Linked DNA regions of Callithrix jacchus. The protein of the gene in region 1 purifies or fractionates together with the protein of each later gene. This does not show direct contact. Links are inferred from orthologs where the notes say so. Each region holds a gene or a part of one and is shown on either strand. Other genes may lie near its edges.

Region 1 (2,783 bases):
ATCCCTACCAGGAGCTTCCTTGAGAGAGGGAAGTGACCAGATGTCCCAGGTTAGGGCTCACCCTGTGACCCTACACACCTATCAGACCATCCGATGTTTATTCTGGAAAATCTGGCCCGCTGATTGAAGCCTGGGGCAAGCCCAGTGGCTCACCTGGCGCGGGGCAGTGCTCACATACCTTTTCATGCCACTGGAGCAGCACTGCGCTGCTATTTTCTGTAGGCTTCTCAAAGCCTTTATAAATGTACTTCATTAACAAGTCAACGCCGTTTCTGTCCAGTGACTGCACAGCCTGCTCAATCTCACTGCTCTTGAAGTTTGTGAGCACTTTCAGCACCACACCCTGGGCTCTTTCCTGCAGACGAAAAAGAGCAAGTGAGACCCAGAGTGGCACTAGCACCACTGTGCCCCACACCAAAGCAAGGACCACTGATCACCAGAAACACCACCCAGTTTCAAAATAGTCCAGGATGGTTAAAATAAGCAGGCTAGAAGGTCTTCTGAGGATTTAAATTTCAAAGTATCCTTTGTTTATGCCAACAAGTTATTCTACTTATTTTGGGGGGAATAAGTTGTTTACTAGGACAAATATCAACTCTGTGTGAGAGAGAGAAGAAAAAAGAGAAAGAGGGAGAGAGGAAGAGAGAGAGAGAGAGAGAGGGTGAGAGGGAGGGAGGGAGGGAGGGAGGGAGGGCAGGGTCTCACTCTGCTGTCTAGGCTGGAGTGCAGTGGTGCAATCTTGGCTCACTGCAGCCTGTTCCAGCCATCTTCTCACCTCAGTTAGGGCTACAGGCACATGCCACCATGCCTTTTTTTTTTTTTTTTTTTTTAATTTTTAGTACAGACAAGGTCTCACTATGTTGCCCAGGCTAAACTCCTGAGCTCAGGCGATCCTCCCACCTCCCAAAGTGCTGGGATTACAGGCATTAGCCACGGCACCCAGCCTATCACTATTTTAGATGACACCAATAAGGCCTTATTATACTCCACAATGGTGAAGTTCTATTAAAAAATAAAAATAAAACCAGGCTGACTTGGCTGCAGCGTCCCTCATGTTCACACCCAGGAAGGGTGGGGCCAGTCCCCAGAACTCTGCAGGTGCAATCAAGATGCTGTCACAGCTGCCAGAATCCCAGGTGCAGGGAGACCCTTTCCCTGAACCAAATTTTAGCCTTTGTGATGCAGAAGCACAATTTAGAAGGTAGGAAATCATACAGGTACTTAAAATCCTTAGGCAGACGAAGCCCATCCAACAGCCTGTAAGAGCATAGGCACCACAGGCTGGAGAAGTCATCAGTTTTCCGCATCAGCCAGGGCCAGGCTGACTTCTCAGCCTACGAGGCCCTGAGCGGGAGTGAAGGCTTCTCTGGGGAGTTTCTCCTATAAACACTGACAGCTTTGATGTTGGAGGAGCCTCGCCATCTAGGGAGTGCCAGGAGGCTTCTGTGGAAGCACTGCCCAGTGCCAACTCACTCCCCTGGTGCAAATGAAACGGATGCAGGCCAGAGCCCCAAGGAGCTCACACCGGGCAGACACCCACAGCCCTGGTCCCAACAGCACCCAGCAGAACCGCATGTGACCCCTTTACCTTCACGGCTTGATTCTTGGTGTTGACGGGAGAGTTCCTCAAGGCTGCGTGGAATGCCCGAAGCATGTCCCCTGTGATGGCCATGAGTTAAGGATGGCTAGGCTCAAGCACGTCCACACTCTCATTAACAAGCTCACTTCAGAAACAGCTCAGGGAACAGAGTCAGACAGGATCTCATCCATACCACCCACTTTCCACAGCTTCCAGGAGGGCAGGTGTTTACAGCCCGCGGAGGGTGCAGGGCACCTCTGCCAACCGTGCAAACCCTCCTTCTTCCTCCTTCTCCACCTTCCCCCTCAAAGCAACTGCCCTGGAGGGGGAGCTTGCTGTAAAACCATTGTGTGCTCACTTGCACCTGCCTGGTGCTGGGCACGGTATCGCCCCTACCGGATCCTCACAGCAACCGTACATGTGAACTGGGGATTGTTCCCATTCTAAAAAAGGGAAAAGGAGACCTCCTAACTTTTCATCAATGCTCTTTATCAATTAAACTATAAAGGAAATTAAACTGTTCTAAAACTTCTAACAGCCATCGAGATCAGTGAGGTCCCAACTGTTTCCAGGAAAGAGTTTATCATCTAAAAGAAGCTTTTGCCAACAATGAACCAATCTCTACCCCTCCCCACAACCTCAGCTGCAGTCCTGACAATAAATTCTTTGCTGAGTTCTGAATACCCAGCATGCAAAAGAAAATTACAATCTGGGTTAGGTCCCCAAAGGTGACACCTATTTTAAACTAAATTACATCAGCCAACTTTCATTTCCTCATGTGAAACACTGGCTTCAGCCAAAAAGCTTCAAAAATAGAACAAGGAATGGCTTCTGCCCAATCGGGTCTCTACTCCTCTTCATGCAGTGATACCCACGTGCAGGCAGGAAGGGCCTTCGGAGCAGAGCTGAATCTCCTGGCTTCCCCAGTGTGAGCTCCATCTTGTGTGATCTGGGTCCAAGCCACCAGGCAAGCCACTCCCAGCCCTGGTTCCCCAGCTCCCTGCTTGGCTCTGATCCACCTTCCACACTCGAGAGGCGGCTGGGAGTGTCTTTCAGCTCTGGAGTTCCTTTTCCCCATCCAAACAAGGCCAGCCTGATATCAGCCACGGACAACCTCTACCTTGCAACTCTTTTCTAATGTGGTGTCCCCAAGCAAGAAGCAGGATCCCAGAGGCCGAACAGGAAACATAGGCTTGCTTGCTCT
Region 2 (4,397 bases), on another chromosome or scaffold:
AACCTGCAACCAAGCACTGGGATAAAATATGTAAATACCAAAGGGAAGGAGACAAATCCTTGGTTGGCCTGGCACAGGGGCAGGGCTCACACCCAGTGCTTTGGGAAGCAGAAGCTGAAGGACTACCTGAGCCCAGGGGTTCAAGAACAGCCTGTACAATATAGGAAAACCCCATCTCTACAAAAAAATATATAAAAATTAGCCAGGCACAGTGGCTCACACCTATAATCCCAGGGCCTTGGGAAGCTAAAGAGGGAGGATCGCTTCAGCCCAGGAGTTCAAGACCAGCCTGGGCAACACTGCAAGACCCTGACTCTACCAAAAAATAAAAATTAGCTGGCCAGGCACAGTGGCTCACGCCTGTAATCCCAGCACTTTGGGAGGCCGAGGCGGGCGGATCATCTGAGGTTGGGAGTTCGAGACCAAGCCTGACCAACATGGAGAAACCCTGTCTCTACTAAACACAAAATAATGACCGGGCATGGTGGTGCATGTCTGTAATCCCAGCTACTCGGGAGGCTGAGGCAGGAGAGTCGCTTGAAACCAGGAGGCAGAGATTGCAATGAGCCAAGATTGTGCAACTGCACACCAGCCTGGGCAACATGAAACAACGTCTCTAAATAAATAAATAAAAATAAAAATTAGCCAGACGTGGTGGTGTACACCTGTAGTCCCAGCTACTTTGGAGGCTGGGGCGGGAGGACCGCTTGTGCCCTGAAGTTCCTGGCTGCACTGAGCTATGATCGAGCCACCGCACTCCAGCCTGGGCTACAGATCGAGACCCTGTCTTAATGAAAAAAAGAAAGAAAGAAAAAGAATAACAAAAAGGAAAGCTCTCGATTAGTCCCATCCGTGGGGGCTGAAGCTGCTCCAGAATTTCTACGGGTTCAAGGGCAGCAGCCTAGTTGCAGATGGGGGAACCACGGCAAACCTCAGAAGCTGTCCTCTGTGAACTGGGGGCATAGCCTAGCTCCCCCAACCTTTTTCCCTGCGGCGCCATCTTGGGAGAAAGGAACAAGTGACTCTGCCCCGCGAAGATTCGAGAAGGTTCCTGGGGGACTTCAGGGGCTTTCCACAGTGGAAGCACGGCGGGGGCGGGGGCTCCCTGCACGAAGCAGCGCTGAGGTCGACTGGTTCTGACCTGGGCTCTCTGAAGAGAGAAAAACTCAATCGTTGGTCAGGTCCAGGAGCTCCAAAGACCCCCCAATCCTCAGTCACTTATTTCCTGACAAAAGAACTTGCGAAACTGCCGAGGCGCCACACTTTGGCTCGCGATTGTGAGGAAACTGATTGAGGAACGGAATGGGACGCCCATGCCGCTTCGCCAGCACTTGACAGGCGTTCCGTGGGGCCACATTCCCTCTGAAAGGCCACCGCCTGTGCCGCAGCAGCAGCAAATCCGACCGCGTACCCTTCCTCACCACAGTCTACCTAAACCCGGACTGCGCGCCTGTGCTATGCGCATGCGCAGACCGCCCGCACGGCCTCACCGCGCAGGCGCCGTGGCTATTTCCGGGATCTGTCAGCCGCTCCCTCTGGGCTTCCGTCCTCCGCCCGCGCCCGCCGGAGCCTGTTCGCGTCGACTGCCCAGAGTCCGCGAATCCTCCGCTCCGAGCCTGTCTGGACTCCCCGGACCCCAGGTAACGGCCAGCAGGGGCAAGCGTCTCACCCTGTCGGCCTCTCTTGTCCCGGTCTCGCGCCGGACTTGGACCCGCGGGGGCGGTGAGGTGGGGGCTTAGGCCGCGGGGCCCCGAGGCTGAGGCGCGGCCGGGTCTGCTGGGGCCTCCTGAGGGGGCGGGGATCCCCTTTCTCCGCGGGTTCCCTGGAGTTTCTCTCTTGATGTTCAAGCTCCTAGCCGTCTCCAATGCCAGAATTAACGACCTATTCTGCGCCCCAGGGTCCTGATTGCACCTCTGCTGGGGACATTTGTCACCGTCTCTAAAATTGTGTCAAGCAGGAGAATCCCCTAATCGAGCGTCCCGCGGGACCATTCATCTCTTTAGCGTCTGGAGTCGATCCCTGCATACAGCAGGCGCCCATAGGATGTTTGCCTCCTCTCTAGGCAGCCCTCAATCTTTCAGTTACTGGGGAACCTTTCCGATCTCGAGAAAAACCTTCTTCTGAGTTCTTTCAGATCCCCCTGCATGAGTACCGCCTTCCCCCAAGTCAAAATCGCACCCTTCTCGGCTCTCCTGTTCGTAAAATCTTTTATGCCAGTCTTGGCACCACCACTTTGTTGGGTGATCCTGGGAAGACTGCTTCTCTGTGCCTGTTTTCCTCATGCAATAAAAAAGATTCTTACTGTTTTGCTAAGGATCAAATGAGCTTATTTGCATAAATTGCTTAGAATAGTTCCTGGCCTAGAGTAGGTGATCAATAAATATTCACTATCATTACTGCTTCTGGGCGTTCTGTGCATATCTGTCTCCCTTTCCTTTTCTACCTTCTCCACTCTTAGCAACCACCAACCCTCCAGACTTGAAGACCAGAATGGTGTCAGCCTTATTTATGTTTCTGTCCCCATCCCAGTATTTACAACACTGCTGGGAACATGGTAGGCACTTAATAAATTATAGCTTAGAATCTTTGATTATAAAGCCATCTGTTCTACTGCAGCTTTGGAACCTTCTGTCTGTGTCAACTCATAGCTTAAATTGCCGAGATTATCTTAATTCTGCCCTCTCTTCTCAATTTTATCTAGTCTTTCGGTTTTACATAGGCCCTGAGTTTTCAGGTAAAAACAAAGGAGGGGTATCAGTCAGGAAGCTGTTTTTGCCCCGTTAGGAAGTGGGTAACTGTGTGGCTGTTTTCTTCCTTTTTTTTCCTGCCCTGCAGCCTCGACCTCCTGGGCTTAAGAGATCCTCCCACCTCAGCCCCCTGAGTAGCTAGGACAACAGGCATGTGCCACCACAGTGGGTGAATTTTCATTCATTCATTTATTTTTCTGGAGACAGAGTCTCACTCTGTCACCCAGACTGGATAGAGTGCAGTGGCATGGTTCAAGCAATTTTCCCGCCACAGCCTCCTGAGTAGCTGGGATTACAGGGTGAGCCACCACGCCTGGCTAATTTTTTTTTTTTTTTTTTTTTTTTGTATTTTTTGTAAAGACAAAGTCTCGATATGTGGCCCAAGCTGGTCTGAAGCTCCTGAGCTCAAGCTCTCCCCCCACCTCAACCTACCAAAGTGCTGGGATTACGGGTGTGAGCCACGACACCCAGCTTATATGGCTATTTTCTCCCATATTCGGAGTATGTATTAGAAGATCTTGTGGAGTTCATCTACTAATCACACTTAAAGGAAGGGATCATTTTGGAAAACTCTTGTTTTGGAGGTGGAGTTGCCATACTTTAATCTAATTGTTTCCCAGTGCTGAAACAAATCCTTCATGAAGAAGTTTAAAATGGTCTCTTGGTGAGGTTGGTGCCTGGACTGGAGCCTGTCTGAACATTGAGGAGGGTGTGGTGACCTTGTTGGATTACTTGATATTGCTGGGTTGGGTAATGAGAGTGGTTAGAAACTAGGTGAATCACGGTCTTAAAAACTGACCCAAAACCAGGGACAGAAATTCCCACTTGTGTGAATACTTTCAAGCTCCAAAGGAGTAGGGCCAAGAATTTATAGCAAATGTCAACAATTATAAGCTCAGAGGAAACTAACTGCTGGGTTCTATGGTTGGTTTAAAAGCCTTGGGTCAAAGGAAGAAAGGGAACCTACTGACATGTATTTCAGAATAGGCTCTGTACTACTTGCTTTCACACGTTGTCTCATTTAATTCTCCTTGTGATGTCAGTGGTATATCCACTTTACAGAGGGGAAAAAAAATGAGATTGAGAAATATTAAGTGACTTGCCCAGGGTCTCATAGCTAGTGTGTGTCAAAGCCAGGATTCAAAGCCAGCCTTGGCTTCAGAGCCCATGGCTAGCCATACATCAGAATAACTCTATACACAGTGATAAAGAAAAGGGATGGGGGGCAGGCACGGTGGCTCATGCCTGTAATCTTAACACTTTGGGAGGCTGAAGTGGGCAGATCGCTTGAGCCCAGGAGTTTGAGACCAGCCTGGGCAACATAGAGAGATCCTTGTCTCTACAAAAAAATTAAAAGTAGCAGGGCATAGTGATGCATGCCTGTGGTCCCAGCTACTCAGGGGGCTGAGGCGAGAGGGTGGCTCACATTTTTATTTGTCCCCTTTTCTTCCTCTCTAGCTCTACTAAGACAAAGCTTTTCAGATTTCATTTAAACATTAACCATAGTTTAGAAGTTATAATTATCACCCTATGACAGAAGGTACCCTTTCTTAGTATATAATTCAGGCTATTAGGAATTTCTTCTGCATTCACTGGGTTTCATGAATGCAAGCTGTGTTTGCTAGGTGCATTCTAAATTTGACAAACATG
Region 3 (3,624 bases), on another chromosome or scaffold:
TTTCTCTTTCCTCTTCACGCCAAGCAGCTGGTGGCACTGCACCGTCACAAGGTTAAGGCCTTCTCTTGGGATGGGGGTTGAAGGGGCCTGAACGTGGACCCTTATACAAGGATCTTAAACCCACCTAGATGCTTATAGGAACAGCTATAGTAGAAGTGCAGGCAAATCTGCTCAGGGGAGGCAGGACCTTCCGGTCCAAGTCCAAGTTTGCCTCAGACAGAACCTGGGAGCAACACTGTAGAGAAGGGTCGCTAGTGATACCCAAACAAAAGATGGGTAAGAGAGAGGTACCCAGTAGGGCACTTCTTAAATTTCAATGCGCACACATTACCTGGAGAATTTTGCGAAAATGGAGATCCTGATTTGCCAGGTCTGGGTGGGGCCCGGTATTTCTGCCTTTCTGACAAGCTCTTAGGTGATACTGATGCTGGTCCTTGGACTAGGCTGAGGGCTGCAAGGTGCAGCAGGTTAAGTGGCTTCCAGAGAGCGGGCCTGACTGATGGGCCGGGCATGGCCACAGAGACCGCAAACAGAGCCAGGAACGGCTTCTCACAGCACAACGTGAGCCTGAAGCATGGGGGTGTGTGGGGCCCTGAGGGGTAAGGAGGAGCCATGGCCAGCGCCTGGCTCCCTCAGCAGAAGGCTAGCACGGTGTCGGTAGCTGTGGGCAACCTCATACAGCCTAGAGGGCTTTCATTGAAATCGCATTCATGAAAATGTGAAGCCCTACCTACTCAGATGGTGGATTTACAGCTGGCTGAACACATTTACCCTAAATGGGGCCCCGGCTCACTCATCTGTGCAGATCAGTGCTGAGGCCAGCACTGGTGGGCACAGGCACGTGGCTAGGAGCGGTAACTCTACCTGTCTGGTGAGGCTGCCTCCGAGGTTCATGGTGCCAGAGCCGGATTTGTTGGTCTGCAGCCACAGCATCACCGTGGAGGTCAACTTGTAATGGGCGGTGCGGCCGCTGGATTTCTCCTGGAAGGACAAGACAGAGACCTGCTGAGCTAGGGAAGAGCCTGAAGTGGCCCCTTAAACTCAGGGTTATCCTAACATCTCCCTTCCTAGGTCATTATTCAAATATTACCTTTTGTTTTGAGACAAAATCTGGCTCTGTTGTCCAGGCTGGAGTGCAGTGGTATGATCTTAGACACTGCAGCCTCCGCCTCCCAGATTCACATGATTCTCCTGCCTCAGCCTCCCAAGTAGCTGGGATCACAGGCGCCCGCCACCACACCCGGGTAATTTTTTTGTCTTCAGTAGAGACAGGGTTTTGCCATGTTGGCCAGGCTGGTCTTGAACTCCTGACCTCTGGTGATCTGCCCGCCTCAGCTTCCCCAACTGCTGGGAGTACAGGCATGAGCCACCGCACCTGGCCTCACAATATTATTTTTCTTATAAAAACCTGACTGGTTTTTAAAGGGACAACATTTCTAATTGTGTATTTCTTTTGGGAACTTAATAATCAATGACCACTGCAGTCTTGACTTATCTTTATCCAAATGGCTTTGAGGCATTTTTCAGAATTAGCAGGGGTTCAGAGATCACAGCATTTCCCCTGCATCTGCTGGAGAGCAGGGCTGCACTGTTTGGTGTGCCATCTACACTCGGCGGCCCCGGCCACCAGCTGCTGGTGGGCAGTACCTGCACTTCCACCACGTGGATGGAATCCCAGCAGCCTTTGATCTTCTTTGATCCATCTCCAGCCTTCTTTATGAGGATCACTCCAGCAAAGCCATGATCCAGATCCCAGAGGTAGACAGATGAGACGCCGCCTTCAAAATACCTGCAGGAAACAGGCCAATGTGCCTGTTAGATGTTAAATGACAGATCATCAGCCTGGGTCCCAGGCTGTTGCTCAGCCAAGATTCACCTGAACACCTGTCTGGGATTCGGGGCCTTCCCTGCAACGGCTGTAGGAGACAATCCTTAGGTGTGTTCTGATCGTCCTCTCGCTGGGGGAGGTGGTGCAGCACCCTTGGGGGAATATTAGGTTTAGTGTCATAAAGATGAATTTGAGTTTGGGCTCCGCCACCTCCTCTAGCTTTGTGGTCTTTGGATTACTGAACCTCTCTGGGCCTCACACTCCTTCCAGATAAAAAACACAGTACAGCGAGTGACATCCAGTGATAATCCATGCAGGCCACAACCACTGGAGTGACCACGGCTGTTCGATATTTCTGTCTTTTGGGATATTTTATAGGGGAGAAAATATAGCAACAAACTCCCTACATCCTGATCCCTCCTGATCCTGGCAGACCAGGGCTCCTGCTGATCTTTTGGAGCAGCTTCCCACAAAGCACTAGATGGAAATGAAGGGCTCAGCTTGAGACAGAGCTTCCGCCTCAAATCTGAGTCAATACAGAAACATCTCTTTTATTTATTTATTTATTTTTGAGATGAAGTCTCGCTTTGTTGCCCACACCGGAGTGCAGTGGCACCATCTCAGCTCACTGCGACCTCCACCTCCTAGGTTCAAATGATTCTCCTGGCCTCAGCCTCCCGAAGTAGCTGGGATTACAGGTGCGCACCACCGCACCAGGCTGATTTTTGTATTTTCAGTAGAGATGGAGTTTTGCCACGTTGGCCAGGCTGCTCTGGAACTCCTGATCTTACGTGATCCTCCTGCCTTGGCCTCCAAAGTGCTGGGATTATGGGCATAAGCCACCACCCCCCACCCAGAAACATTTCTAATTATGATCAAATAGAAGAAGAAAACAAAAGGCAAGATGAAAAAAGGGAATCAGTCTGGGATCCCAAACCCAACCGACCCAGGTCAGCTACTGTGGCTCACTGGGGCTGCCATGAGCAGAGTCGAGGGGTGGGGTCAGCTGATGAGAACTGCAAAAGCTGCTGATAACCAACGGAGACTATGCGAAATCTCATTTCTTGCGGGGAAAGTCTGTAACCTCTCCAATCCCAGTTAAGCCCCAAAGAGAGGACTCTTATCTCTGCTGATAACCAACTGTGAGCAATCTCATCTCTCATGGTGAGCACATCTTTATCAGAAAGTCTCAGGCCTCTCTGACCCCTATTAAGCCCCAGAGCCACAGTGTGGTAGGTGTATTCTAGGAGCACACTCCCTCAGCCCCACACAGCTGGGAAGGTGGGCAGCATGGTGCACTGGGTAGGCAAAGGCTTGGGAGTCAGACTCAGTGACAGCTCTAGCACCCCCAGCTATGAGCTATGCTCAGGCATACATCTGCCCAACAACTATTTACTATGGGACCAGCTGTGTGAACATGGGCCTTAGGGACTTAATCTACTTTCCAGGGCTGTTGAGAGACAAAAACGATTAAGAAATTAGACACCTGCCAAATGGTCATTGTCGTTTTCATTATTAAAATTAAGTATTAGAATTAACATGTATCTATATATAATGTCTCACCAAAGCTATTATACAACAAAAAATACACACGGTAAATGTTCATATTTAGAGAATGTGGGTGATGGGTACAAGAATTCTCTGTAGTCTCTCCCCATCCTTTTTTTGTGCAATCTTACAGTAAGTCATACTATTCCAAACTAAAAAGCTTTTGTAAAAAATCAGTACACGAATACACCAGAGTGTAATGGAACTAAGAGACTTTCAGACCAAGGAAGCAAAGCACCCTCCCAGGA
Region 4 (3,624 bases), on another chromosome or scaffold:
ATATGCATGAAACGAAACCAATGGAGCTCACAGACAGCATGGGGGAGGGTATCACTCTGACTTTCAATCAATATGTGTGGCTAAAACTGTCCAGCTTAAGATATATCTTGTCAGAAAATAAAATATATTTACAATACTTAAATATTTATAGTTGGCCAGGTGCGGTGGCTCACACCTGTAATTCCAACACTTTGGGCGACCAAGGCGGGTGGATTACCTGAGCTCAGGAGTTCAAGACCAGCCTGGGCAACATGGTAAACCTTGTCTCTACTAAAATATAAAAAAAAAAAAAAAATTATCCAGGCGTGGCAACAGGTGTCTATTGTCCCAGCTAGCTACTCAGGATGCTGAGGCAGAAGAATTGCTTCAACTCAGGAGGCAGAAGTTGTAGTAAGCTGAGATCGCTCGGTTGTACTCCAGCCTGGGCAACAGAGCAAGACTCCATCTCCAAATAAAAAAACTTCTAGTTAATTGAGTCACTTTCCATTTTCTCTTACAATTACACTGTCTTTAATAAATCCTATAAAACAGAAGGTGAAATAGGACCATCTGCTAGCACTAGACAGTAACACCCTCGTCTAAGAATGTGGAATGAGATGGAAGTCTCTTACCCAGGCAGCTCATACCTTATACAGTGGACGCCGCACATCGATGGGGCAGTTCTGTATCACTTCATCAACAACGTCCGAGATGGACTCCATGAAGTCTGGGTTGGCAAACTGAATTGTGTATCAATATAAAACAAACATTGCACATTTCTCTCGAATAGAACAACAGGAAAACTTCTGTAAAGTAACTTTAACAAATATACAATTTATTAAAACTTAAAACAATTCACATTGGAATGAAGGATATGTCAAATGAATCCCACGTGACTACGTGTGCGTGGGGCAGTGATGACAAATTTCTCCTCATGAGGTAAAACGTGTGGACTTAGTGAAGAAAAAATACCCAACAATAACAAAGACAGACCATCCCTACATCATGAATACACAGTGATTTGCCTAATAAGAGAAGTGGGAAGCATGTGCACGATCTGTGTGAAGTGCAGCGAGAAGCGTGAGTGTATATCTGACAATAGTGTTAGGAGAAAATTAGGATACAAGGAAAAAAGAAACAGGTTCAATGAAAGATTAATTAAACTTGCTCTAGAAGATGGGGAAGTGTTTTGTTTAATGAGAAGTTTGTTTAAAATCAAACAAGCCACATGATGACCATGTTACTGAATACAAAGCCTTAGATTCAATTCCATAAGTCACATAAGCTAAAGTATAACTAATTCAGCTCAATTACATTTCCTTTGAAATATTTTAAAAATCAAGGAAAACTTCAAGTGTCAACTCAGAGGAAGGAGGAAGACGTTCAGGTGCTCACCAGCTGTTCTCTGGACATGTGACACATTTCCATCAATACTATTAAAAGTGAGCATTCACTACACTATCACTGGTATAATTTTATTCATCAGATTACTAGTGAGGTAACATTCTCTGCTGTTTCTCTGTACAAAATAGACACATACATATCTAAAAATAAGAAGCAGTTTATAACCCACCTTCTGAATATAAACTGAATTAGCCAGGAAAATATACCAAAATATAAATAAAATGCATTATATGTAAATCTTAAAATGTGCCTCTTAATTACCGTTTTCTGCAAAAGTACTAATAATTCCTTATGACTGCTAGTTAAAATAACATTTCTAATTCTTAAGATTATCTAAATAACAGAAATGCTGGCCTTAGACAGAAGCTTTACCTAAAACCTGCAGCAGGGAAGAGCAGGACCCACTGTCCAGGGTTAAAATTAGAAGTTAGGAAGGGCAATCGCCAAAGATAAAAAGGTTATAGATTATCCCACTCTTATGCACAGGCAACCTCCATATAGTCCTTGAGATTAGCTACCTGTAATACCAGCATGTGACCACCCACAACCTTTGGAGATTACTTTCGATTCTATCATCTCCTATTGCTCCTGAACGTCTTCCCATACGTGGTATAACCCACCCTTTACTATTAAAGCAGATAACCAAGTCTATGAAGAGGCAAACTGAACAATCTGTCAAGCAGACAAACTGCGCGGGGGACACAGGGAGAAGACCGAATGGCAGCCACCCTGCTCACAGGCCCTTTCCTGGGAACCACTCTTTCTGCACTCTGGGTGGCAGTGTCGCTCCATCCACACGCTTCAGCACACGAAAAAGAAGCATCTTACCTCCGGATGAAAGAATATTTCAGGTCCCAGGAACCGTTCATAACCAACATCTATAACGAACTTCTTCTGGTTGATCGCATTAATGCCCGTGTACTGTTTGATCCACTTCCGAGGATCCACATCATACTTGGCAAATTCCTTGACTATATCGGGGCAAATGTAACAGTATTTCTCCTGCATACACACACAAAGACGTTGCCAGGCATTAACAAGTGCCCAGCGTCTCTGCCCTCAGACAAACAACCAGGAACCCCAGGCAGTAAGCACACCCCTGGAATCAGATCTGCCCCCACTGTAACTCTAGGGTGGATGTGCCGTCAAGCCTCACATTCCACATGACAACACTTGGACTTTGGACAGTTACGTCTGCTTTCTCTGCAACTCAGCTATTAATCTCAGCCTTGGTCTATCCAATTTTACTGCGATCCTATCTGAAATGATATCTACAGGTGTCTATAAGGACCTTGTCTTGCCTTGTTCCTCTGAGGCGGCCCCTATGGCCTGCCCTGGCACCTCTCTGTTGTCCACACTGGACCAGCAGATCCGTGCTACAGCCTCATCTACCGAGTGCAGCACCGTCTATCCCCTCACACCTGACTGCAGCAGCTTCTTTGGGTCCCAGCATGCCACAAGCCAGGAGGCCACTATCAACCTGCGGGTTGTTAATGTGGTGTGGAGTCGGCCACAGCACTGTCATCAGCTCCCCTGACACTACTATCTCTTTAAGGTAGAGATACTGTACCTTGTTGACAGGGTATTCTAAGTCCCTCGATCAACACATATTTATTGTCTAGGCACTTCAGATACACAAGTGAGTGAAACACACACAGATCCCTGCCGAGATTACACTCTAGCTGAGAGTCAGACAATACGCAACCATAACAAGTAAATGACATGGTAGGTTCCGGGGAACGAGGAAAAGCAAAGGCAGGCAGGAGGCCTGAAGCCGTGCTGCTGCGAGAGAACTCACTTACAGTTCTCAGCGACAGGCAGCCTGAGGTATGCAAAATGTCTCCTGGTGTGACTGATGCTCTTGGACACCTCTGTGTTGATCATGTGTCCTGAACGCTGACCTCAGCAAAGCAGCAGGTGACCCCCAGGTACTAGATGCTGAAAGTACACTGCCTACAGGAAGAAACAGGCAGGCTGCCCAGCTGGCACTCGACACACTGGAAGGAATGGCTCCCTCAAGGACCTCCAAAGATGTTCTCGAGGTATTTAGCATCCCTGAAACATACTCTAATGCCATCTTCTGGGTATCTCTGATATACTCTAGTGGAATTTTAAGAAGACTGATAGGCCAAAAGTGTTACACAACCCTGTATTCCTTGATGACACAGAGAGAGACAGGGTCAGCTGATTACAACCTCAAATCTACCAAGACTGGAGACAAAAGCATTCAGTTGTCCACAG
Region 5 (4,380 bases), on another chromosome or scaffold:
CATATGTTGAGTTTTGCTGGACAATCCCTAACAGTTTTGGGATTAAGTTTCAAGTCTCCTAACTCTTAACAGCCTTCTTATCTAAGACAATCAAGTTTTACAGATGACCATTTTTTTTATCAGCCACCTTTTCCCTAATTTATATAATGAATAAAATGAACGACCTGATTCAGGTTATAATTTTTTGCTTAAACTAAGTGGGCAATTGTAATCTAGAGACTTAAGAGCTGAATGCATTCTCTAAAGCATAAAGAAATAGACAAATTATAGGTGCACAATTTGCATTCGGGGACCACAGAATTTTGAAATGTAAAAATTCCCTATTAAGGCCATACTTAGAGATGCTTATCTCAGGGGCCCAACCTCAAGGACTTATCCATGTGTTAATAAAGTTGAAGGTGTAACTTTCCTGGAAGAACCACTGGCAACTTAAGAGACCAAAAAGCCTTTTGAGGACCAAAATAACTGAAACTCTAAAGGAAGATTTTCAGGTAGTGACAAATTGTAAAAGAGAGTGAGCTGGCAAAGGGACTCCTAATCAGTTCCATTAAAATCATGAATGCAGTTAGCAACCTCTCCTTGTCGGGGAAACCAATGTAATAATGTAAAAATATACTACTGTAAAAATCAAAATTTTAAAACAGACATATCCTAGATTAAACTGAACCCCTCTCCCTGATCCTACTGGTCATTCAGCATGTTTTAAATTCAAGGTTGCCCTTTAGGAAAGGAGGTCACTTAAGGACAGTTAACCTCAATGAGACATCTAGTATACTAATTTGAAACTATTTCAAAAGGGAAAAAATGGAAAGAATAAAAGTAACATACTACTTGAGATGTTACCATAGTCTTTCTTAGGGCCACAATTATTTACACTATTTTTATTGACAACTCAGTAATTTCTAAAACATTAATTATGTAGCCATATTGTCACTTCAACAAAACATATTGGAAAAGTCCTACTGACTCAGGTCAAATCTAATTTTAAAACTGAACCTAGACATAAAACTACTCACCAATTAAACGAAGAAGGGAGAAAGAAAAAATATTATTGGTTCAGAGAAATGAGACTGGATTAAGAAGAAACTAATCAAGTGTTCATCAAAAAAATACATAGATGTTCCAAAGCTCATCTAGGCTAGTGTTTTCCTGGGGAGAATATTAAGTTGGTTGTTTCTCTACCTGACTGTGATTTTAGAAACTGCCACACTAGCTAGTTATGAGAATGAAGATTAAAGAAATTTTACATGGAATAAAGAGTGAAAGACATACAATCTTTTAAGGAACAATAATGAATATTATTAATAATTATGATTAACAATAATTTTTTTAAAAGCCTTGCAGTCCACCTCTCACGCCTTCCCCCTCAAAAATAAAACTGGGAGTGTTTGGGAATTAGAGCGATGTAATCACAGAAAAAAGAAAACAGTTTCCTATATGTCATCGTGAAGCAGTGATTCTACATTAAAATAAAAGTAGCCTATTCTCTATGTAGTTATACAAAGTGTGGTACAACTCTCTAAAATGTCTATTAATACAAAATGAATGACCACTTTAAAGCCATTCTATATTTTAGCAAACAGCTCTACAGATCTAAGAGTAACTATGTGCAACTTAAACACATTCCTATATACCTCTATACCTTCCTTCCTCCTTCCTTCAAGATACCATCAGAGAAGGAACGTATGCAACTTAAATTATTTTCCAGGGTGTTTCCTTTCTCCCCTCTCCATGAAACACAAGTACATTTTTTTAAGTTACATGAATGAATACCAAGCACCGTTAATTCCGTCTCTTTAAAACCTGCTTAATTTTAAAAGTACTAATAAGTTGTGTTCAGGTTGGAAACGAAAAACTACCTTATAAGGGTATAAAAGACTGAAAGCAGGAAGCGGCTTTGACAAAACTAAGGAAGTTGCAGCGCGCTTGCTCACTGGGGGACTTTTTTGAGGCTACAGAAGTAACACATGACATTTTTCTCTCTCGAATTAAAATGTGACTTGGTTCACCGGTTAAAATGCAGAGGGAGATGGAAATGACCGGGAGTCGAAAAGAGAAGGTGGGTGGTCAAATGAAAGCCCCGCTGTAGGTTCCCATTTTCAGAGTCCGATTCTTCCCCTTCCCCACCCACACCCTGGGCAGAGTGTTGTCACAGCGATCTTGCAAAACCTACCAGGAGCGCTTCTCTTTTCTAGCTCCTCTGCCAGGCCAGTCCCCGAGCACGGCCCCTGGGCCCCCAAACCCACGGGGAAAAGGGGCGCGGAAGGAAAGGAAAGCCGGATGGGTTGGGCCCGGGGACCACCCCCAAAGCGACCGTCCCCAGCACTCTTTGGGCGGCACAGCCCACCGCAGTGGGGGAAGGGCCGGGGGGGGTCGCGCGGAGGAAGCCGCTGGGAGGGTTGGAGGTTGAATCTCGGGCCTGCGCCCCCGCCCCAGTCCTAGGAGGGAGAAACTAGGGGACCGGCGAGGCCCTGGCTCCGGGCCCCACCCCTTGCTAGCCGCCGGGGCTAGGACTGACAGCCGGCGGCGGCACCTTGCCGCACCATTCATTTCCCGGTCTCCTCCCTCCCCCGCCATTTTCCTTCCTCCGCCTCAGTTTCCCCACCCCCGCCCGTCAGCCCCCTTACCCCGTGCCACAGTCCACTACACAGGCCGGCAGCCGTCCCGCCATCTTCCTCCTAGCCTGCTGCTGCTGCTGCCGCCGTCTGCTCCGTGCTGTTAGGGGCCAGAGATTGGCGGCGGGAGACAGGCGCTATCTGACCATCCACAGCCGGGCCGCCCTCACCGTCCGGGGGGTAGCCGGGAAGCCGAAGCAGTAGCAAGAAAGCAGCAGGCTCGGTCAGCGGCTATCACTTCCGCAACCCGGGCAGGCAGGCAGTCCCCGCCCTGCCCCGCCGCGGCCTCCTCCCCCTCTCTCTTCCCTCCTCCTCACTCCTGCCCCCACCCTACAACTTCTTCCCCTCACGCCGCCTTTCCCCGGGAAGCCAAGATGGCCGCCGGTGCCGACGCCCGGGCCCGGCCAGGCTCAGGCCCGGAGAGCTCCCCCTTCCGCTCCGAGCGGGAGGGGCCAGCGAGCATGCGCAATAAGGTACGTTCGCCTGCCCGGGCTCCGATCCCGAAGTTAGTGAAATCCACTGCGAGTTTTCCAGGAGGATAGAGGCGAAGTCTAGCCGAGCTTCTAGTTCTGCTTCTGAAGCTGGAAGGGGCTTTTCGGTTGCAGCCCTTGGGTTAGTTTCAGTTGCTTCTTTGCTAGATTGGGGAAAGAGTGGAAGCGCCTCCTGCAGCCGCGAATATCCTACAGGTCCTGGGAGAAAGCGGTCTAATCGAAAACGTCTGCGGCATGCATCCATTCTTAAAACTTGAGTGGCTGCTTTTCTGGGTGGAAAAGAGCGGTATCAGGGTGAGCAGTCGGGGAATGGATGAACAAAGACTTGTCACCGTGGTCCTTAGGCCTTTGTTGCGGGTTTTATTCAGTTGTACTTGTGCATTGTTACAGGACTTTAGAATGTAGCCCTGCTCCCCAACCTCCACCTCCCAGGGCTGACCTGGGTCCCTAAGGAAGGCAAACCTCCCAGGAATGTATTCTACATAGTATACGCCATCCAAATAGGTCTTTATTCAAGGCTTTTAGATTATGACAACGATTCCCCTCAGGAGTAGTAAGAGTCTACTAGCAGTATAATAGAAAGGATTAAGGGCACTCCCCCCCCCAAAAAAAGTTTTAAGTTAAAAACGGAGGCCGGCCACAGTGGGTCATGCCTGTAATTTCAATCCTTTAGAAGGCCAAAGTGGAAGAATAGGAGAGCTTAAGGCTAGGAGTTCGAGACCAGCCTGGGCAACATAGGGAGGACCCCCCACAACCATCACTCCAAAAAAAAAAAAAAAAAGAAAACTGGAAAGCCTTAAAGAAACCTTTCAAACTTTAGTGTGTATCAGAATCACCTCAAAGGTTTGTTAAAACAGATTGCTGGGCCACACCCCAGCAATTAGAAATTCACATTTCTAATAAGTTCCTAGTTCCACTTTAGAAACCTAGAAGGTTAATATCATTCCTCTCCACCAAGATTTTCTTATGATAAACCATTCTGAGTTTACTAATGTGAAGCTAAAATAAAAATATTTTTTAGAAGGAGGGATATATTATTCAGTCCATAAAATCGTGTAGTGTGGTATTAAGCTGGCCTGGGAAATGGAATTGGGTGTTTCATTTATTCATTTGACAGGTAAGTATTGCTTACCTACTCTATTATGGCAGGGACTCTGCTGACTCTGAATATTCCCTGGGATGGAAAATAGTTAAGGTCTTTTGTAGAGTTTACAGATTAGCGGGAAACAGACAAATTGTGTTAAGTGCAATAGAAAGAAGAGAACTGAGGACTC
Region 6 (4,073 bases), on another chromosome or scaffold:
ACAGTGAACCGAGATAGCGATACCACTCCAGCCTGAGTGACAGAGTGAGACACTGTCTCAAATTAAAAAAAAAAAAAATAGGTTAGCATATAATTTGGGGGGATCAGCAATATCCCGAAGCTTATCCATAGCCCGTTAAGGAATGTCTCAAAGGGCTATCTGTGCCTTAATGATAGGAGCTAGTTTCTTGTTATTTTTATCCCCACCCCAAACACATAGCAGAAAATAAATTATTTCTTCGTATGTAGAAGAGACTCAGCTAAGTTTGTTATATTCTTCCCGGAGGAGGGAAAACAAAACAAGGCATAAAGGCAGAAGGTGCAGATGTAACACAAAGATGAGTTAAGTTTCCACACGCAGGTAACAAAGAGGGTTATGTTTCTGCCAGAGGTACTGGAAGGTATAGGTTTAAAAGGCAGGAAAAAAATTATGTTCTGGACACCTGGACGCAGTTCCCCAGGCATATAGAATTGGAGGCATGGCAGGAACTCAGGGGGGCCTAAGTTGCCTATACACCCAGGTGACCTCTCATTCCTTTCCCTCATTGCCCTTTTAACAACACGGGGAATTTCACACAGGGAAAGGTTCCCCTCTCGCCCCAGCGGGCAAGGAGGCTCCTCTGCGCAGAGTTCCGTCCCCAACTGCCCCCACGTCCCACAGGTCTCCTCCTGCCCTGTGCACGCACAGGTCTGACCACTTGCTGCTTCCGTATCCCTCCTCTGAGCCTCTCCCTATCCTCTCGGCCTCCTTAAACAATTGAGAATGTGTTTATTGTCTGTTTCCTCTACCAGACTCTAAGTTCATGAGGGCAGGACATCGTCTATTTCATTCGCCACCACATCCCCACTGCAGAGCAAGAGCCCATGAAATATTTGTTAGAGAAATGAATGAGTGATGGTGTCGCTGGACAGCTATTAGCCTGAATTGAAAAGGGTGCACCCACAGGAAACAAGCTAGGAGCAAAGAAGCCCGTTGGGAGACGACAAGGGCGAGCTTCTTGCGAGGTCTCTGAAATGACAAGACCGGAAGAACGGAGTTGGATCTCTGGGACAGGCAGGAAGGAAAAGCTAAACAATCAGGCAAGCCTCGGGGAACGTCAGCTTCGCGGGGGACGCACTGGCAGACCGCGGATGTAAGGGGGTCTGTGGGAAAGTAGAGGTGGGGCGGTGGCATCACACTTGCGCAAGCGCATCCTCCGTTTCCTCCGGCGCGCCTGCGCTCGCGTGCACAAGGGGTTGAAGCGGAAATGGCGCCGCGGGATCGCGCCTCCGGGCGGCGAGCGGAAGTGGGTGTGAGAGCGGAAGTGGCCGGCTAGAGCCGGGGGCTGGGCGGGGACCGGGCTTGTCCGTGAAGCGGCAGTGGCGGCGGCGGCGGCTCGGCAGGCGGGTTCAGGCTTCGGGGGCCAGGTCGGTTGGGTGGGTGCCTGTCTCCACAGTCTGTGTGCGTGGGCCAGCGCGTGCGTCTTACCCTTCCCTCCACCCCGGTCCCTCTCCCCTTCTCCCCTAACCTCCTACCCCACCCAGCCCCCCTCCTCAGGGGGCAGCAGGGCCGCTCTCTGTCCTTCACTCCCTTACCCACCCTCACCGGCCCTTATTTCTCCTTCCCCTGCTCGGGGCAGCCGCCGCCATGATCCTGCTGGAGGTGAACAACCGCATCATCGAGGAGACGCTCGCTCTCAAGTTCGAGAACGCGGCCGCCGGGTGAGCGCGCGCCTGGGGCTGGGGGTGGCGGGGGAGGCAGAGTTGACCCCAACTATTCCCTAGTGTCGTCCGGTCCCCCAGACCTGGAGGAGAGAAATGGGGTGCCTGGCAGGGTGTAGGGGCTGCCCCGGCGGGGTAGACGTGGGAGGCGATTGGGCGCGGCGGGGCGAGGGGTAGAGATGCGTGGGGAGAGGCTCAGAGGAGGGATGCGGAAGCGGCGAGTCTTGAGGACTGTGCGAGCCAAAGGGCAGGAGACCTGTGGGACGTGGGGGCAGCTGGGGCCGGAACTCTCGCTGGAGGAGCCCCCTGCCCGCTCGGGAGAGAAGAAGACCCCTTCCCTGTGTGAAATTCCCCGGCATTGTTCAGAACCCAGAGAGCGCCTGTTTGAAATTGGGTTGGAAGGAGTTTTTAGGAATTCCCAGGACTGAAGGAGGGAAGGAGATGCAGGCCCACATCGCCACCAGCATTCTCGTTCCCCACCCCCATCTCCTCTAAAAGGAGCAGAAGAGAAGACTGAAAGCCGACAGAGTCTCAGAGCCGGAAAAAGCGATCTCTGGTTTCCCTTCCCCGAATCCTTCTGTGAGAGACACTGGGCCATTTTGTTACATATTTTTCAAGCAAAGCCAGTTGTCTGTCGGTCCGCACCCCTTCCTTATCTCTCCTCTGAGGTTCTAACGCTCTCTCCTCATCCACTAGTCTTTATCTGGTTATCTTGTAAATTCTTATATCAAGACCCTGGTCTGTGATTTCTTCTGTGGTAACCCTGGCCCAGTGACACACTTCAAAGCCTCCAGAATCTGTAGTGCTTAGATAAGCTTTCTTTAGGGTTGGACTTTTTAAAAGGTGGGCTTAGGATATATTTCCCAGGCAGCCTTCTCTGCCAAACACAGGCATCAGTAGAAGACAACCTCCTCCTCCAAAGCTGTTTTGCTTTTCTAATATAGTATTTAAAACATGAGCTCAGGGTTTTAGGTTCTAATTTTTGGTGGCCTGTGGCCAGTCCCTTTGCCTCATTTCCCTTTCTAGGAGCGTGGGGCTTCACATCTTGGTTTCACAGTTGACGAAATAAATGCAAACTGTTTCTGGTGAACTAGTAATAGGAAAGTGTTTGGAGAGCCACAGATGGGAGATCAGTGGAGGGGAATTTTTAAGTGGCCATAATGTATTTGTGGCTTGGAGGCATTAAAAATTATTAGCTACCATTTAAACTGAATGTATAGTATGTCCTGTCTCCTTTCTAAGGCTATGGATTTTATCTGTAAAACAAAGCACTACTTTCTTGAAGTTAATATGTGTAGTGAGCAGTACTGTTCCCTGCCAGGGGCTGCTGTTGTTTATATTTTAGGCCGATTTGCTTCTTTCTTGTCTTAGCCTCTCTTACCAGTGTCTTTGCATTTTAAATATTCAAATGAATCAGCCCAGAGTCTTATTTTGGATGATTGCTGTATACTTTTTTCTGAGCAGTGTAGCATTTAGGAGGAAGTTGAATTAACTTCTGCATTTTCACAACTGATCTTAATGCATTCTCAGGTCCAGACTAGCAAAGAATGAAGCCTGGGCGGTCCTAAGCTGATCTACAAGATAAATGGCTATGTATTTTCAAGTAGAGGCATGTCATTTAACATAGGAGTACATTCTTGTCTATTTGTGTATTTATGACTCGTGATTCCAAAATGTGCCCCATTATTCGGAATTTCACCTCTTTCTTTTAGGAAATTATTCTTTAAAAGAGTAGCTAACCATTTCAGAGGGATCAAAATAGGCCCTCAAGTCTGGAAAACATAAGTTAGAACTTCCAGGATTTTTTTTTTTTTTTTTTTTTTTTTTTGAGACAGTCTCACTAACTGGAGTGCAGTGACATGATCTCTGCTCACTGCAACCTTCCCCTCCCAGGTTCAAGTGATTCTCATGTCCCAGCCTCCCAAGTAGCTGGGATTACAAGCACGTGCCACTACACCTGCTAATTTTTTTATTTTTAGTAGAGATGGGTTTTCACCATGTTAGCCAGTCTGGTCTCAAACTCCTGGCCTCAAGTGACCTGCCTGCCTCAGCTTCTCAAAGTGCAGGAATTACAGATGTGAGCTGCTCCGGCTGGCCTCAGGACATTTTTTACAAAGATAGGCATTGTAGGGAAGTTGTATAGGGGGTGCATGGGTGTGTGCACGTGTGTGGGTGTGTGTATAAGTTTTGGATTTTATTCTGGCCCATCTCCCCCTTTCAGATGTGGTCTTCAATAAGTGGGCTCAAAACATTCTGCTGAAAATTGAAACTTTGAAAATCTTTTAAAAGAGCCATGATATCATGCTTAGTAGGCAGGGCTTTCCTGGAATTACAGATTTATCACCCAGCAAAAGCCTGAATGAAGCAAGTGTA

Evidence for each region.
Region 2: the proteins of ARPC5L (region 1) and ARPC1A fractionate together in Homo sapiens (co-fractionation; 7 studies listed by BioGRID and IntAct, with this or other methods). This does not show direct contact. The link is inferred for Callithrix jacchus from reciprocal best matches to the Homo sapiens genes ARPC5L and ARPC1A.
Region 3: the proteins of ARPC5L (region 1) and CAPZB purify together in Homo sapiens (co-immunoprecipitation; 3 studies listed by BioGRID and IntAct, with this or other methods). This does not show direct contact. The link is inferred for Callithrix jacchus from reciprocal best matches to the Homo sapiens genes ARPC5L and CAPZB.
Region 4: the proteins of ARPC5L (region 1) and ACTR3B purify together in Homo sapiens (affinity purification with mass spectrometry; 3 studies listed by BioGRID and IntAct, counting the BioPlex papers as one, with this or other methods). This does not show direct contact. The link is inferred for Callithrix jacchus from reciprocal best matches to the Homo sapiens genes ARPC5L and ACTR3B.
Region 5: the proteins of ARPC5L (region 1) and ACTR3 purify together in Homo sapiens (affinity purification with mass spectrometry; 6 studies listed by BioGRID and IntAct, counting the BioPlex papers as one, with this or other methods). This does not show direct contact. The link is inferred for Callithrix jacchus from reciprocal best matches to the Homo sapiens genes ARPC5L and ACTR3.
Region 6: the proteins of ARPC5L (region 1) and ARPC2 fractionate together in Homo sapiens (co-fractionation; 7 studies listed by BioGRID and IntAct, with this or other methods). This does not show direct contact. The link is inferred for Callithrix jacchus from reciprocal best matches to the Homo sapiens genes ARPC5L and ARPC2.

The regions. Positions count from the first base shown.
Region 1 is NC_133502.1:173,467,825-173,470,607, reverse strand, and holds part of ARPC5L (actin-related protein 2/3 complex subunit 5-like protein), read right to left. Parts: intron 1,662-2,783; coding exon 1,589-1,661; intron 356-1,588; coding exon 179-355; intron 1-178. UniProt on the Homo sapiens protein: May function as component of the Arp2/3 complex which is involved in regulation of actin polymerization and together with an activating nucleation-promoting factor (NPF) mediates the formation of branched actin networks.
Region 2 is NC_133503.1:14,253,266-14,257,662, reverse strand, and holds the start of ARPC1A (actin-related protein 2/3 complex subunit 1A), read left to right. Parts: upstream 1-1,537; 5' UTR 1,538-1,640; intron 1,641-4,397. UniProt on the Homo sapiens protein: Probably functions as a component of the Arp2/3 complex which is involved in regulation of actin polymerization and together with an activating nucleation-promoting factor (NPF) mediates the formation of branched actin networks.
Region 3 is NC_133508.1:56,259,465-56,263,088, forward strand, and holds part of CAPZB (F-actin-capping protein subunit beta), read right to left. Parts: intron 1,790-3,624; coding exon 1,648-1,789; intron 982-1,647; coding exon 865-981; intron 1-864. UniProt on the Homo sapiens protein: F-actin-capping proteins bind in a Ca(2+)-independent manner to the fast growing ends of actin filaments (barbed end) thereby blocking the exchange of subunits at these ends.
Region 4 is NC_133512.1:95,420,085-95,423,708, forward strand, and holds part of ACTR3B (actin-related protein 3B), read right to left. Parts: intron 2,386-3,624; coding exon 2,212-2,385; intron 720-2,211; coding exon 627-719; intron 1-626. UniProt on the Homo sapiens protein: Plays a role in the organization of the actin cytoskeleton.
Region 5 is NC_133507.1:98,527,348-98,531,727, reverse strand, and holds the start of ACTR3 (actin-related protein 3), read right to left. Parts: upstream 2,882-4,380; 5' UTR 2,672-2,881; coding exon 2,628-2,671; intron 2,341-2,627; exon of another isoform or gene 2,174-2,340; intron 1-2,173. UniProt on the Homo sapiens protein: ATP-binding component of the Arp2/3 complex, a multiprotein complex that mediates actin polymerization upon stimulation by nucleation-promoting factor (NPF).
Region 6 is NC_133507.1:139,959,682-139,963,754, forward strand, and holds the start of ARPC2 (actin-related protein 2/3 complex subunit 2), read left to right. Parts: upstream 1-1,225; 5' UTR 1,226-1,285; intron 1,286-1,343; exon of another isoform or gene 1,344-1,406; intron 1,407-1,618; 5' UTR 1,619-1,626; coding exon 1,627-1,700; intron 1,701-4,073. UniProt on the Homo sapiens protein: Actin-binding component of the Arp2/3 complex, a multiprotein complex that mediates actin polymerization upon stimulation by nucleation-promoting factor (NPF).